Linked DNA regions of Neodiprion lecontei. The protein of the gene in region 2 purifies or fractionates together with the protein of the main gene of each other region. This does not show direct contact. Links are inferred from orthologs where the notes say so. Each region holds a gene or a part of one and is shown on either strand. Other genes may lie near its edges.

Region 1 (8,103 bases), on a different chromosome or scaffold from region 2:
TCAAGTCTATCACAAAATTCTTCCGGTTCAACTTTAGTATCAATTAATTCTTGAATCAACGTCCGAACATTTCGTTCCACTGCTTTAGGTTCTCGACTAGACAACTCTAACAAATTTGCTAAGAATTTACGGCACTTTTCTTTGGTATTATCTGTGGTTTGACGCTGAAAAAGAAGAATTACACCATTTTTATTATATTATTAATTCGCGATGGTTGTACATGAAACAAAGACAAAAGTCAACATGTTTTTTACCTGGGCAGGACTTTGTGCTGTTGGAACTTTAGTTGCAGCAGGTATTGGAGCTGCGGCTGCTACAGTAGTTACAGTACCAGGAGTCGTGGTCACAGTTGTAACACTTGCAGCTACCGTCTAGATGAAAATTAATCATTTGTAACTAACCTCATTGCTTTTCATATTTGCAATATTGAGGAACGATATGAAAATCCGTTCAAACATTTTTTTTTATACTGGATGAAATTTTGTCAATCAAGGAAGCGTTGATTTTCATATCGTTTTCTTTTACTACAGTTGCAATTTGAGGGAAAAATAAAAAAAAAAATAAAAAATAAATACGTAATTTGCGCAAACCACTACCGTTAAAATAATGCACCACTACTACTCACACGCAATTTCATGTCACAGAACAAATACAACGAATAAGTAAATAATTTCGGCAATCAAACTACACGTATAATAATAAAAATGTGATACAAACATGACAGAATTTGCCATTACAGAAAACTGAAGGGCGCGTAATCATCAAGCACTATGAAATTCACTTCTATACCACTAGCAACATTTTTTTCATGTCTAAATAGCCGTTTAGCAGTTGGACAATCGTGTGGAATTTATGCTAATGGATATATCATTCCATACTTAAGCTGTGGGAATAGTATACAATACAAAAAAGACAAAAAACGAACTAAATTTGTAAATAATAGTAGAAATTAATACTTGGACTGAGATTATGAACTTTGATTGATTTTTTGCAATCAAACGTGGCTATTTGAAATGAAAAAGTGAATTGTACCTACTCAAATAGCATCACATAAACTGACCAATTACATATTTATCAAGCATTGTAAGAACACTTTGATATTTCTACTTAACAGACATGCAACCGACATTGTAGTTCGGGCTCATCGAAAAATTACATGGTAGCTTAATCGAGAATATTAATAAGACTGGTTGCAAATGGTCAGTGGTATTCAACACCTCAAATAATACCGTATGACATGAATATAATAGCTAAACATTTTTAAAGTTACGAATTTCTATTTATCATTGAAACTGATGATACTGACGAATTTAATAAGTTTACTTTTAGTAATTCAGAAAACTTCTTTTCAATAGTAGGAAGGCAAAATTTGCAATTTAAAAACTTCTGTCAAAAAAATATCCTGAATAGTACAAAATGATAATAAAGTGATACAATATATGCAGTGTGATGCATACCTTGCGATACAGAGAAAAACATTCGAGTGACATCTATCGTAAATTCTAAATCAAATCATATGTCCAACGAAAATTAGTTAAAAATGATATCAAATATTACGTCGATGAGAATAAAACATTGCCGGAGGAAAGAAAACGGTTACCAAGAATCATTCCACGTATTTCTTGTAACAAATTGACAATTGAATTTACAGTAAAATATAAATCCAACTTGGACTTGTAACACTTTCCAACAAAGATATGCACGGTATATTGCGCTTCTAAGAAAAAAGGACAAAAAATGAAAGGAAAAACCACTATTCCAATCAACTAAAGTCAATAAAACAGTGCAAATCTACAACGCCACTACATCAAGAGACTCTTACGAGTTATGAGTGTGCGTCACCTGAATGGGTTTTCTTAACGTGGCGAGTGGCGGGCCAGTGAACTGAGTGTTCAGCCTACTTACAGCCGGCACAGAGGTTAGGCGATAAGTTGTGCCTGCGGTCGGAGCAACCACTGCGCTTCCGGCAATACTGTTCGGGGTGACATTCCCTCCCCCAGGGGTACCTGTGGGTGGCGCCGGTCCTACCCTCAGCAATTGGTATTGCCCATTCTCAGTTTTCAAAAGCAGATGTCCCTGGGTTCCAGGTTGAAGACCTTGGAGGGCCTGCAGTGTTATCTGAAATGCCAAATTCCCAAATGTTAAATCGGTTTCATCAAAATCTGGTAGTTTCATTGACAGTGAATGCGTTAACAATCGATCGCTGCTAGGAATAAACTGGCCATTTGTTTCCGCAAACTGAGAACCTTGAATTTGAAGATTATAACAGGAGAAGATTCGGTAGTTTGCAACTTTTGCACATGTATTTTACTTAAAATATAGTTTGAAATCGTCATCGGATGAAAAAATCAATTCTGCATAGCTGAAACCCTAGATAACAAAAATTGTAACATGTTATTCAAACTTATAATGATTTTTTCTTTTTGAATAGCCGATAAACTGAATCTGCGTTTGAGATCATAAAATGGAAATTGTTAAAAAAAAATGAAAATAATAACGATATTGCGCACATCAAAAATGATTCACTGTAAACATGCAGAAATCGGCGCTGACACTTGGTTTGCTCGCTTGAGCAAGAATGAATGGGCGAAACTGTTTCAAGGTTATTGTAAAATAGAAAATAAAAAGACAGTTCTGTGATTGACAAATAAGTCTTGAAAAACACGAGATACATAAAATACCAGTCACTTTTGATATTCTGCAAGGTTATTGGAGGGATTGCAGAAAAGTTGATACCGAAATATTGGCAAGAGCAAATGAATGCGAAAATGATGAATGAAAATGTCGTTAAAAAAGCATCTTACCCCGGGTGCACCAGGTCTGGCACCGACCATGTGTTGTCCAATGACGACCCTCGAGGCAACTTGCTTGCCCTGCTGTTGTCCAGCGACAGGAGTACCGGGCCTCATTGTGTTTACGTTTAAAATTTGGACATTGCTAGGTACTATGGTAGAAGTGACGCCAGCCTTCCCTTGCAGGGTGGTGCTGGTGGCATTCCCAGCCACTGAAACGGGAACGGACATTGGGACGGAAACCATTCCCCCAGGTGTGGCGCTAGTCTTTATAACCAAGGCAGTGCCACCCCCCTGCTGCTTGTTGACATTAGCCGAGGACTGGCTGTTGGCCTGTGTTATAGAGCCGATGTTGTGAGCAAGGCCGGAGGTAGTCTGAAGCACAGTCTGCGTGGTCACCCCTAGACTGCCGTTGGGTAAATGGCCAACTGTTTGGGTGGGGAATGACAGCCTGTTGTTAACGTTAACCACACCTGTGGTGGATATGGTCTGTCCCTGTGAGGGATACACCAGTTTGACAGACTGCTGGTGCTGCTGCTGTTGCTGATGTTGCTGCTGCTGCTGCTGTTGTTGGTGATCGTGTGTTTTGGTTATATTAGTAATGTTCGTTTGTTGATTGGTTGTGACTTGGTTTATGTAGGCAGCAGCGGGAATTCCTGACTGTGGATGCTGTTGCGATGTTGTATGCGCTATCGTGTTCGAGGTGACGACGTTCACCGGCAACAGGGTGCTGGTCGTGATTGACTTGCTCGGGTCCTGGGATATCAGGTTGTTCATCGAAGTAGCACCGCCGTTAGCAACCCCATGTTTCAGTCCCGCGGAGATGATGGTACCCCCGTTTGAAATCCCACTGTTTAACTGACGGTTTTGATTAACCGAACCGGAGTTCACTTGGTGGGTTGAGATCGGCGGCGTTGATGTGACCAACTGCGTCTCGAGCGAACCGACGATCGCGTTTACTGCGGATTCATCGACGTCCGTACTAAGAGCTTCCTCCAGAAACTTAGCTGACGCCATTTTCTTTCAAGCTCCAACTGTAAACTGAACTGCGCATGCGCCTACAGAAAATTATTCCCATCGTGCATTGCCCCTAGCGCAGCTGGAAATTGAATACATCATATCTTCTGTTTACCATCGGGCAGTACACGCGCAAATCGATATTATTCCCCATAGTATCCTCGTACTGTTTACTTCTTGTTTTTTCCTCGCTACTTCTTTATACCGGCTATTTCGACGCTACTCATTTTACGCGTTACGTAACGCAGTGAACGCCTACTAGCCTTGCGTTAATGCCTTTCCCTCCTTTACACCTTCTTTTGATATGGCTGCATGTCAATGAGTAGAACACCAAAACACGTCACCCGCCAAAATGGCCAGCTCGGAAATAGTCAACCAATAAGTCATTTCAAACTCATTTCTGGTCCCGATTAGTTTAAGATTCGCGTAGTCGATTTCGTTCTCGTTTTTTCTTTTTCAATTTCTTTCGTTTAGTTCTTCTCTTATTATTTCCAGATAACATTCAACACAAGTATTTGTTGATGATTCGATAAACAGAAATACAATTGACCATAAACTAACTCATCACACGAGACTGGACACTCGTAAGTTTATACAAATGATTTAGCTTTGTGCGTTCACAAAGTCATTTCAACGCCGCAGTTGCTGTCCCATCGATACAGGAGGGTTTCTATTATTACTGCGACGTAAAGCCACGGCCATGCGAATCCACCTTTATTATGCCCGGTAAAACAGCTGCACTTTCGAATGTTGCAATTTCGAAACGCCAACTCAAAACTTGGACTGTTATAGCTATTACAACAAGCTTTGTTTGAATGATTTGCTCTCGAGATATTTTATATTATAATATCTATGTTACAATCATCCGATTTCTACATACGACAAATTTTATTAAATATTTCGATAAATTAAAACGTATCAAATCACTATTGAAAACTATTACAAATAACAACTATACAAAACAATATCTTTATTAAAAATCATTTCCAGTCAAGGAACAACAATATTTTCATATCAACGATACTAATTCATGAAAATTCTGTGTATACTTGATATTTTAAATTTACTCGAAACACTAGTAGTGGCATTAATGTGGGACACTGTACAAGGCTTTCGTTTTGAAAAAGACCCCTCATTGAGGAGAAAATGAGATTTGATATGCAACACGACTTGTAATACATGATAAAAAAGTACTAGTAGCAAAATGCTGTATACACTTACATTACCCAAAAAATTGGCATGAAATAAATAAGATATGTAAGACGAAATAAAAATGAAGTACCTATTGAGAGTTCCCAGTAAAAATTCACCATACCAAAGAAATGAAAAATAAATGAGTATACTGCTACCCTTGCACATATTGGAATCTCATCGATCCGAAGAATGTCAGGGTGTGGGGGACCAATGTGGATACGTTTTTATAACATTGTATAGCGCGTCACCAGGGCTGAGAGTTCTGGAAACCTGTCGATGACCTAAAAGCTTATAATTTCTTGCAATCCTCCCAGTCGTGACACCGAGGTCTACAAGTTGTTGAAGTGCGTGCAGCTGATGTTTCGATGGGGTGACGGTATTATACGTCCCAATGAAAGAGATTCCGATACTTCTGGCATTGTAATCGTACGAATGAGCCCCAACGTAGTCCCAGTTACGGCCAATGTATACGTAACCATCCCCGCCAATCAGAAAGTTGTAGGCAATGTCGCACCAATTTCGAGATTCTATGTGATAACATTGTACTAATCGGACTCGATACACACATGACGATTGCGTGTGGCAAAAATCAGTTGCAGTATGGCTGATGATCACGTAGGGGACTGGATGCTTCAACCTTGCCGCGGGTTCCACTGGTGGCTGTGCGCCCCATTCATCTCGTGTAACAAATCTAATCATCGTGCCCAACGGGAGGCCTACGAAAATTGAAATAACATTAAAAACAGAATTTTTAATTAATGTAAAATGATTTCACGAGGCATTTATAACGTTGGGATATGTTCATAACTTCATTCAATATGCGAAAATTTTGTTCGTTACCATTAATGTCTACCGATGAGTCGGGAATTTTTGTAACAGTGGAGATTGATGGCATATTTAAATCTTGCGAGTATAATGCCATATTGACAACCACCGCAGCGACGACGCAGGATCCCATAGCACACATCAGAGCTATGGATCGCCACGATAAAAGGAAAGACCACCATTGTGTCACTGAAAAGATACTCAATTTTCTTTAAAGAACAGTTTAATTTGACGTATTAATTTCCATTTTTTTTTTTTTTTTTTCTTACGACAGAAAATAATCTTTCGGACCTTGAACTATAATCGTCGACCTTTCTTAAATCACTATAGATAAACAGTGAATTTCTAAATCAAACATCAAAATAAGATATGACACTGACCGCAGAATGATAATAAAATCTTCATATCTAAATGTTCACAATGTATTGTTTTAAGGTGCCAGTTTATCAGCTCTATCTTTTAATGATCTTAAATCATATGAATAGGACTGAGTTTAACAGACGGGGGATTCAAGTTTTGGTATGGAGATGAATCCATTCGAAAATCAGACGGCTTTTGGTACGTCTGAGTTAGAATTATTTCAATCCTAGCAGCAATTGGGAAAATACAAAATTGCAGTTCATAGATATTTCGGATCTTCAATTAGGACGGTTCCGTGTTCACGATTGATTGTGATTCGCCGGAAAATCATTATAATCGGACCACAGAGCTGATTTGTAGTATCGCAGTTGCCTAGAAGCCTTCCTGCCTCCCATATAACGACAAACTCGTGATAACGCTGGAGTGTCACTGTTGTAACAATCCCGCAAAACCGCGTACAGCAATCATATTTAACCGTAAGCATTGACAATGAGGGTTAAAAATGAAAAAAGTATCGGTTCACTTGCGTATGTTGAAGTTAAACTTAATTCACACCGGGACGCGACTAATAGTCCGAAAACTATAAGTAAGAATGCGGCCATTCAATGTTGGCATTGAGGACAATGCATGCGATAGCTGTTATAAAGAATATCAAAAAAGCGCGAAGCCTCAAGTTGTGCATCGAAATTATTTTCCACCGTAAGTAAGCTAAGTGAGGTCAAAATGCACAAGTTACAGCATAGCTAGTTCACATTATTTCAGTAGGAAATTGTATATTTTTCGTCGTGCGGTACATACGATAATGAGGTGGGACTTTCCCACATCCTATACCAAGTAGCATGAACGCGTAATACAAATATTCGTCAGACTTTGGTTGAAAGAAGCTATCGTCCAGCATTGTTATCAGGAGTTACGTGTCGAAACTGTACAATGCGACAATTATACTGTTTTAGATTTTATCCAGAACAGATAGCATGAGACGAGACTATTAATTATTTTCAGACAGTTTGAATTTCATTAGAATAGCCGTGATTGTGCAAATTTCATCTAACCCAAGCAATCTGGGAAATCGAATTATAAAAGAAGATGCGATGATTAGATTGTAAAATTTGTATCTTACCATCGCCGTCTGTCAACCAGTCAGAAACTCTGAAGAAAATTGGGATTGACGGTAGTTCCGTATCCCTCAAAAGTAGGACTGCACTAACAAAAGTGGTGACAAGACAGAATCCTACAGTGCACATCAGAGTGCACATCAGAGCTATGGACTGCCACGTTGAAAGCAAAGAGCGCCATTGTGTCACTGAAAAAATATTTCTGATTAATGAAATTTATTTACCTACACGTTTGCACAAACCAACTGGTAATTGGTGTTCATGTTTGCTAACTGCAGTACTGCTCACTAATGTTAATACTCACTGCACCAGGCTCCAATGCTCTAAAATCGTTGGAGAATGGTGACAAAATACATGGATACAGACTATCGGATTGGGTATCAATATTCACCTTTACGGTCGTCCTGTACGTTTTGCGGGTCTACCGGTTTCGTAGAAGTTTTCAAGTCTTCATGCTTCGGAACTTTCTCTCCAGACTCAGAGAACTCTTCGCCAAGTCCGTCATCGGATACAGTAGACTTTGCGTACACAATTTGTTTGATCGTAACGGGTCCCTGGTAAAATGTTTTATTTCCAATGTGAACATTAGTCGAATCTTTAACGCACACGTCGCCAAAAGCTGGTGCATCGCTGATAGGAAGCAGGATGCCGTCGTCCACGAATTGCTGCTGCTTAACACTGGGTACATTGATATCATCGCTCCACATTTCAAACTCATGGCTATCCAGGGAATCATCAGAGTCACTGTTCTGTGTCGAAGTGTACTGATTGCAGACATTTTCGTCCGTCGTCTGGATTTC
Region 2 (5,534 bases):
CAGCTGAATGGAATATTTTTTTTTTTTCACCCGTTTTTGGACAGCAGAGGATTCATCTGATAAATGTTCCATTCAGCTGGGATGATCGAAATCCGCTTAGATGCTGTAAGATACAACGCCAAGTTAATATTTCATTCCTTGTTCAGCCCTTTCTTAGGGGTAAATCAACAGATCTCTTATTGAAATGTATCAAGAACTACTCTGGATTCTAATATAACTACAGTTTATTTTTGATAATAAGTTTGCACCGGTTTCTTACCATCGCGGATGGTAATGCAGGCGTCTGAATTCTGGTTCGACCTCCATCCATGAGTGATAAATCGAGTCGGGCGAGAACTGCTCCAGTTACTACCACTGACGCTAGATACGGAGTTGAGAACTAAGAGCTGAGAATTCCTGGGGTTGTTACTGTGCAAAGAGAAGACTGTAATTAGCTTGAGCTGGTCAGACGGCGCTTAAAAGTCAACAGAACTCTATTCTCACCGAGTAAAAAGATTGAATGTTATGGTTTCGACATTGCGAGAAAGGATGGAATCACTCGAATCAAAACCAGTCAGATCTTCACCCTTTTCCAGCAGGTCGATCAGTTGAGGAACTCCGTCTCCGTCAGGGAAATACATGTAGTCATGCTCAGGTTCAATCACCTCCCCAGCGTAAACTGCATTATTTTGATCAAATAATTAATTTTCGATGTAAACCAAGTGCCTCGAAATTGTTGGAAATGGTATGATGAAATAAATTCACGGCACTGTGAATCGATAATCGAGAAAAATCAAGTAATATTGAATGGTATCGTACCTGAGGCAGTAATCGCAAGAACAGCTATGAGCAGTAGCTTCATTTTTGCAACAAAAACTTGAATTGCCCTGTTATTCGCAGAATACTGTACTTATAGTGCCAGCAATTATCGATTCGTGATTGATAATCAAAACAGATTTAAATCTGAGTTTCAATCCCCTTGTGGTTATTGATTAAGGCTCAATTACAACGTTCTTTCATCTAATCTAAAATGTGATAAAATCTAAACATTTGATCTAGCCCATTTTGGTATTTTTGATTTAAAACAAACAAGATTATTATCTGGATGACAGTATTTATAGTAGTATACTGTATATATTCGGCTACTGATAAAACTTGTCAATCTACTCAGTTAGTTTTTGTAGTGTGTATATCGTTGCAACTAACTGAGATATTATCCTTATACAGTAGTGGTCGTAATTTTATTATCTAACAAAGCCAAAGTGCTGAATTGATCACGCCATTCGCCACTGTTAAATCCATCAATCAATTTTAATCCGTACAATTTTTTCGCATATTGTTACATCCTGTTTGTTGGCTTGATTGCTAAACTGGGATTTCTACTTCTTTAATTAATCAACTCAAACATGTTCAGTTTGACGACTTTTAATTAAACAATAAAAGTATTAAGAATTACAAGTCTATTACTGTGAAAGAATGTGTAATACTTCTTCAGGTGCAATACCAATGTCAGTATGCAGATGCAGAAATCTGTTGCAGATCAATTTTATAAATTTTTAGGAGACAATGGTTTCTAGCGACTCCATTCCAAAGTCAACTTTCTTTGTATTCTGGGACACAATATCAATCTATAGGTCAATCTTAGAGCTTTTTAGAAAAGCAAAACACCTTTCAAAAACAGCTGGTGGTTTTTTTCAACGAGTTTTACGATTGATTGATTATCTGGTACCACCCATGACCCATACTCCAGATTTCAAATGATAACTACTTTACATTTGTTGAAAACAAAGCATTACATTAACTGCCAACGTGATTCCGATCGTATGATGTTTCTTATCGATGTATCTCAAGTTTCATTTGTAAATACAATTAAAGATAGGAATAATGATCAATATTCATTGTAAACTTTAGCACGGTGATAATTGTATATTCGGCCAGATGCTGACTATTCGTACCAAACAGACAAAGACAGACTAGAAATTAAACTAAAAATGATTTAGGTAAATGTTGGTTCATTTTTTTAAATGGTGGATAATTTGATTGAAAGAAAACTGTGAACGTAAGTGGGAGTGAATAATAGCTAAATTGCCTATAACATTGAGTAACTGTGATAAATACTGTATTTATTATCAGAACGATTAGGGAATCAGAAGTGTTGATTTGGGGTGCACAGACCATTGTTATAAAATAATATTATTCATATGACGCGGGTACATTTTTTTTTTTTAGTTAGTCAGGCAATATCGTAGTCTTCTTCTTCTCTTTTTCTCTTCGACGAATCATCAGTTTCCATTTTTATTACAGACACAGGTTGACTTGATGAAATTTGAATCTTTGGCTTTCCAACAGCCGGTTTTCCTCCTGGAGCTCCAGCTCCAGCACCTGCCGAAATGTTTTTATCGCATGTTAGTATCAGCAGATAATAATGATGTATACAATATAGTTGAACAATCTTCAAAGATTAAATTCATTGACCGAAGATGCTTCTAAATTCATAAATTTAATTTCCAGTAAAAATATGTTCTCTAAATTTTGATTTACTCGCTTCACATTCCAAGAGTTTATTAATCAGTGGATAATTATCAACACTTCAATGCATAGAACAATTACTGTATTAATACTTTATCACGTTGAAGTTAGTGACGTTATTGTAAACTATGCATGTTAAGGAAAACCGTTATTTCGCTAATCTCGAATTGTCTGAAATTCAATAAAACGTATAATAAGCTAGACATGCTGATATTTTGATAATTTAACTTTTACAGTCATTTTAAAATTGGAAAATGGTGAAATTTTTTTTGTACAATGTTTCGTTAAGATATCGTTACTAACTTTAACCCCGTAATACTTTTTCATTTGTAAAAGGCTCAATCACTACAATTTTATATTCATTTACTGTTGAAGAATCATTTGCTAGTATTTTTCCTGAAAGTCTTTACAATCATTGAAGGAAGTTCCGAATGAGACTAGATAGATCGATCAACTCTACTGATATGCATGTGAAACTTGAGATAAATTCTCATATGGAAGGTAAAGAACAGAAATATTGGCAAGTAGGATGGGGTATTGGGGATGGAAAATTTATCGAGTATCTGCGAAATGATAAGTATTTAAATTATTAGTATGAATAGAATAGGAATGAAAATAATCTACTAATCCAATTTCCTCTACAAAAAAAGAAAACCTCTTTATATTTACCGGTGGTGAATTTGAACACAGGTTTTGGAATTGTTATAGCTTGGGTTCGGGCAACAGTAGCGAGAGTGCCAGGCCTCTTGACGATGGACAATCCAGTTTTGTTCGGTTCGATCTTGATCCTGGGTTGACCTCCGCTAAAATTATTTCCAACTATGGCGTGTAACGGCTTACCAACGATCTTTTTGGTAGCGTTTTTCAGCTTATAGTTTGTGGCATTGAGGCAGTAACGATCGGGCGGAAGGCGCAGGCCATTGTTTGGCTTAACAAATGGCAACGGAATATTGTTCTTTGCTCTGGCTACATCCAGTAGTACATCTCTGGGAGGCGGATTGGTGAACGAACGTTCTAACTGCATTTTTACAGCGAGTCTAACATCGTCTAAGTCAATGAACTTCTTCTTCGCATGGTTAGCATATATCCTGCTGTCGTCCAGTATACAGGTTACGTAACCTGAGAACAATTGTACGTAAAATTGTAATTCATTTTAATGAAACGATGAAAACAACGCGATACAAGAGAGGATATACTCACGATAAGTGAATTCGAGGAGTTGATTTATAACCTTTGGCTCGTAGTCAGTGATGCCCATGTCTTTCATTATTGACATTATAACTTGCGCGTCTTTCGGTACATGTTTAATCTGGCTCATTGATTTCGGTTTATCTGCCATATTTCGTGTTCTTCCTTCGACTTTAAATTCATAAAATATCAAACTTGGTCGCTGTTTCTAAATTAGGTTAACTGACCCTGTCGAACCATTAATACAAAAACATTGTGTTTTCTCTGAAGTAGGCTAGTTTTTGGAAAGGTGGATTTTGATGGAACTGCGGAAAACTCGATAGTAGTTCGATATTTTTAAATTCGATACCTCGATATTCGTTTGTCTTCCCGTTTTGATTACTGTTGTTCAGCACTATTACGGCATAGTTCAGTGGACTTAAATGAAAACTAAATTAGCTCAAGCGACCCTTTCAACCTTTCTGTGGTCATAAATACTATATAAATACAAAAACATTCAGTTTGATATGAAGTTGGCTTGTTTTTGAAAAGGTGTATTTTGATGGTAGACTGCGTAAAAACTCGAGACCAGTTCCATATTTTAAAATTCAATACCTCGATATTCGTTCGTTCTACCGTTTTGATTGCGGCTGTTCACCGCTATTACGGATTAACGGCATAGTTCAATGGACTGGAATGAAAACTAAATTAGGTCAAGTGACTCTGTCACCCTTTCTATAATCATAAATAACGTATAAATACATAAAAATTGAGTTTTATATCGGGTTGGCTGCTTTTTGGAAAGGTGGATTTTGATGTTGAGACTGCGGGAAATTCCAGAGCTGTTCGATATTTTGAAATACGATACCTCGACACTCGCTTGTTACCATTGCGGATGATTACGGATTTGCGGCATAGTTCAGTAGACTTGATCCGCGTCAAGTCGTTGTACGTTTTTCGTCTCCTGAACAATTGCGTTAAATCGTAAGATTCACCTAAAACAACATGAACATCACGTCAGCAGGTGAATAAAACGGTTTTTCGTTATTCCGGCAACGAAAATTTTCAATTGTCGACAAAAATACAGGACATTGAAGTTTTTCGAAAGCCGGCTACGCTCGTGTGCAAGTCACTGTTTTCAGTCATGACATGATTTGCAAGCCTTGTCATACCTAACCTATAATATATGGATAAAAATATGTTGACAACACTCGATTTTCATTGTTCATATTTATTTTCCAGCGGGAATAATTTCCCTACTGGAAGAGCCGATGCCTGAGCTGAAAGTGTTCGCTCTGAAAAAACTAGATCTCATTGTGGACGAATTTTGGCCAGAGATATCCGAGGCGATTGAAAAAATGTACGTGTCACAATACTTATTTATTTGTACAAATCTGTATGTGTGTTACTTGAGTTGTCTTTTAAGATTAAGAAGCAAAATTGCTATAATAATAATCATGAGGCGTCGTTTAACTTATCTACAGCGAAATATTGCACGAAGACAAGGGATTTAATCAGCATGAGCTGGCAGCGCTCGTAGCCAGCAAGGTTTACTACCACCTTGGAAGTTTCGAGGATTCTCTGACTTATGCTCTTGGCGCTGGCGAGCTATTCGACGTTAACGCTCGCAATGAGTATGTCGACACAACGATCGGTGAGTTGAAACTAGTCCAAATTGCTGCTACTGGTTTGTTCTGGATCAATTAGTCTAGCCAATAGAGAATTTCACTTTAACTATTAATGCTAGTCATAAAATTGTATTGAAAACTATCGTTTTATGGACTTGAATTACAGATGCGAGAAGTCCACCCGAAAATTTGTTTATTCAAATTAATTCTAAATCAAGGTCTTTGACCTGT

Evidence for each region.
Region 1: the proteins of transcription initiation factor TFIID subunit 9 (region 2) and transcription initiation factor TFIID subunit 4 purify together in Drosophila melanogaster (affinity purification with western blotting; 4 studies listed by BioGRID, with this or other methods). This does not show direct contact. The link is inferred for Neodiprion lecontei from reciprocal best matches to the Drosophila melanogaster genes Taf9 and Taf4.

Annotation. Positions count from the first base shown.
Region 1 is NC_060261.1:2,568,066-2,576,168, forward strand, and holds the start of transcription initiation factor TFIID subunit 4, read right to left. Parts: upstream 4,372-8,103; 5' UTR 3,810-4,371; coding exon 2,805-3,809; intron 2,119-2,804; coding exon 1,843-2,118; intron 372-1,842; coding exon 255-371; intron 165-254; coding exon 1-164. Other genes in the region: uncharacterized protein LOC107216688, read right to left, coding at 5,196-5,719, 5,844-6,017, 7,309-7,491, 7,695-8,103. UniProt on the Drosophila melanogaster protein: TFIID is a multimeric protein complex that plays a central role in mediating promoter responses to various activators and repressors.
Region 2 is NC_060262.1:4,427,044-4,432,577, reverse strand, and holds transcription initiation factor TFIID subunit 9, read right to left. Parts: upstream 4,009-5,534; 5' UTR 3,848-4,008; coding exon 3,709-3,847; intron 3,628-3,708; coding exon 3,178-3,627; intron 2,362-3,177; coding exon 2,213-2,361; 3' UTR 2,082-2,212; downstream 1-2,081. Other genes in the region: phospholipase A1 VesT1.02, read right to left, coding at 260-408, 484-658, 799-841; 26S proteasome non-ATPase regulatory subunit 1, read left to right, coding at 4,681-4,699, 4,918-5,035, 5,160-5,329. UniProt on the Drosophila melanogaster protein: TFIID is a multimeric protein complex that plays a central role in mediating promoter responses to various activators and repressors.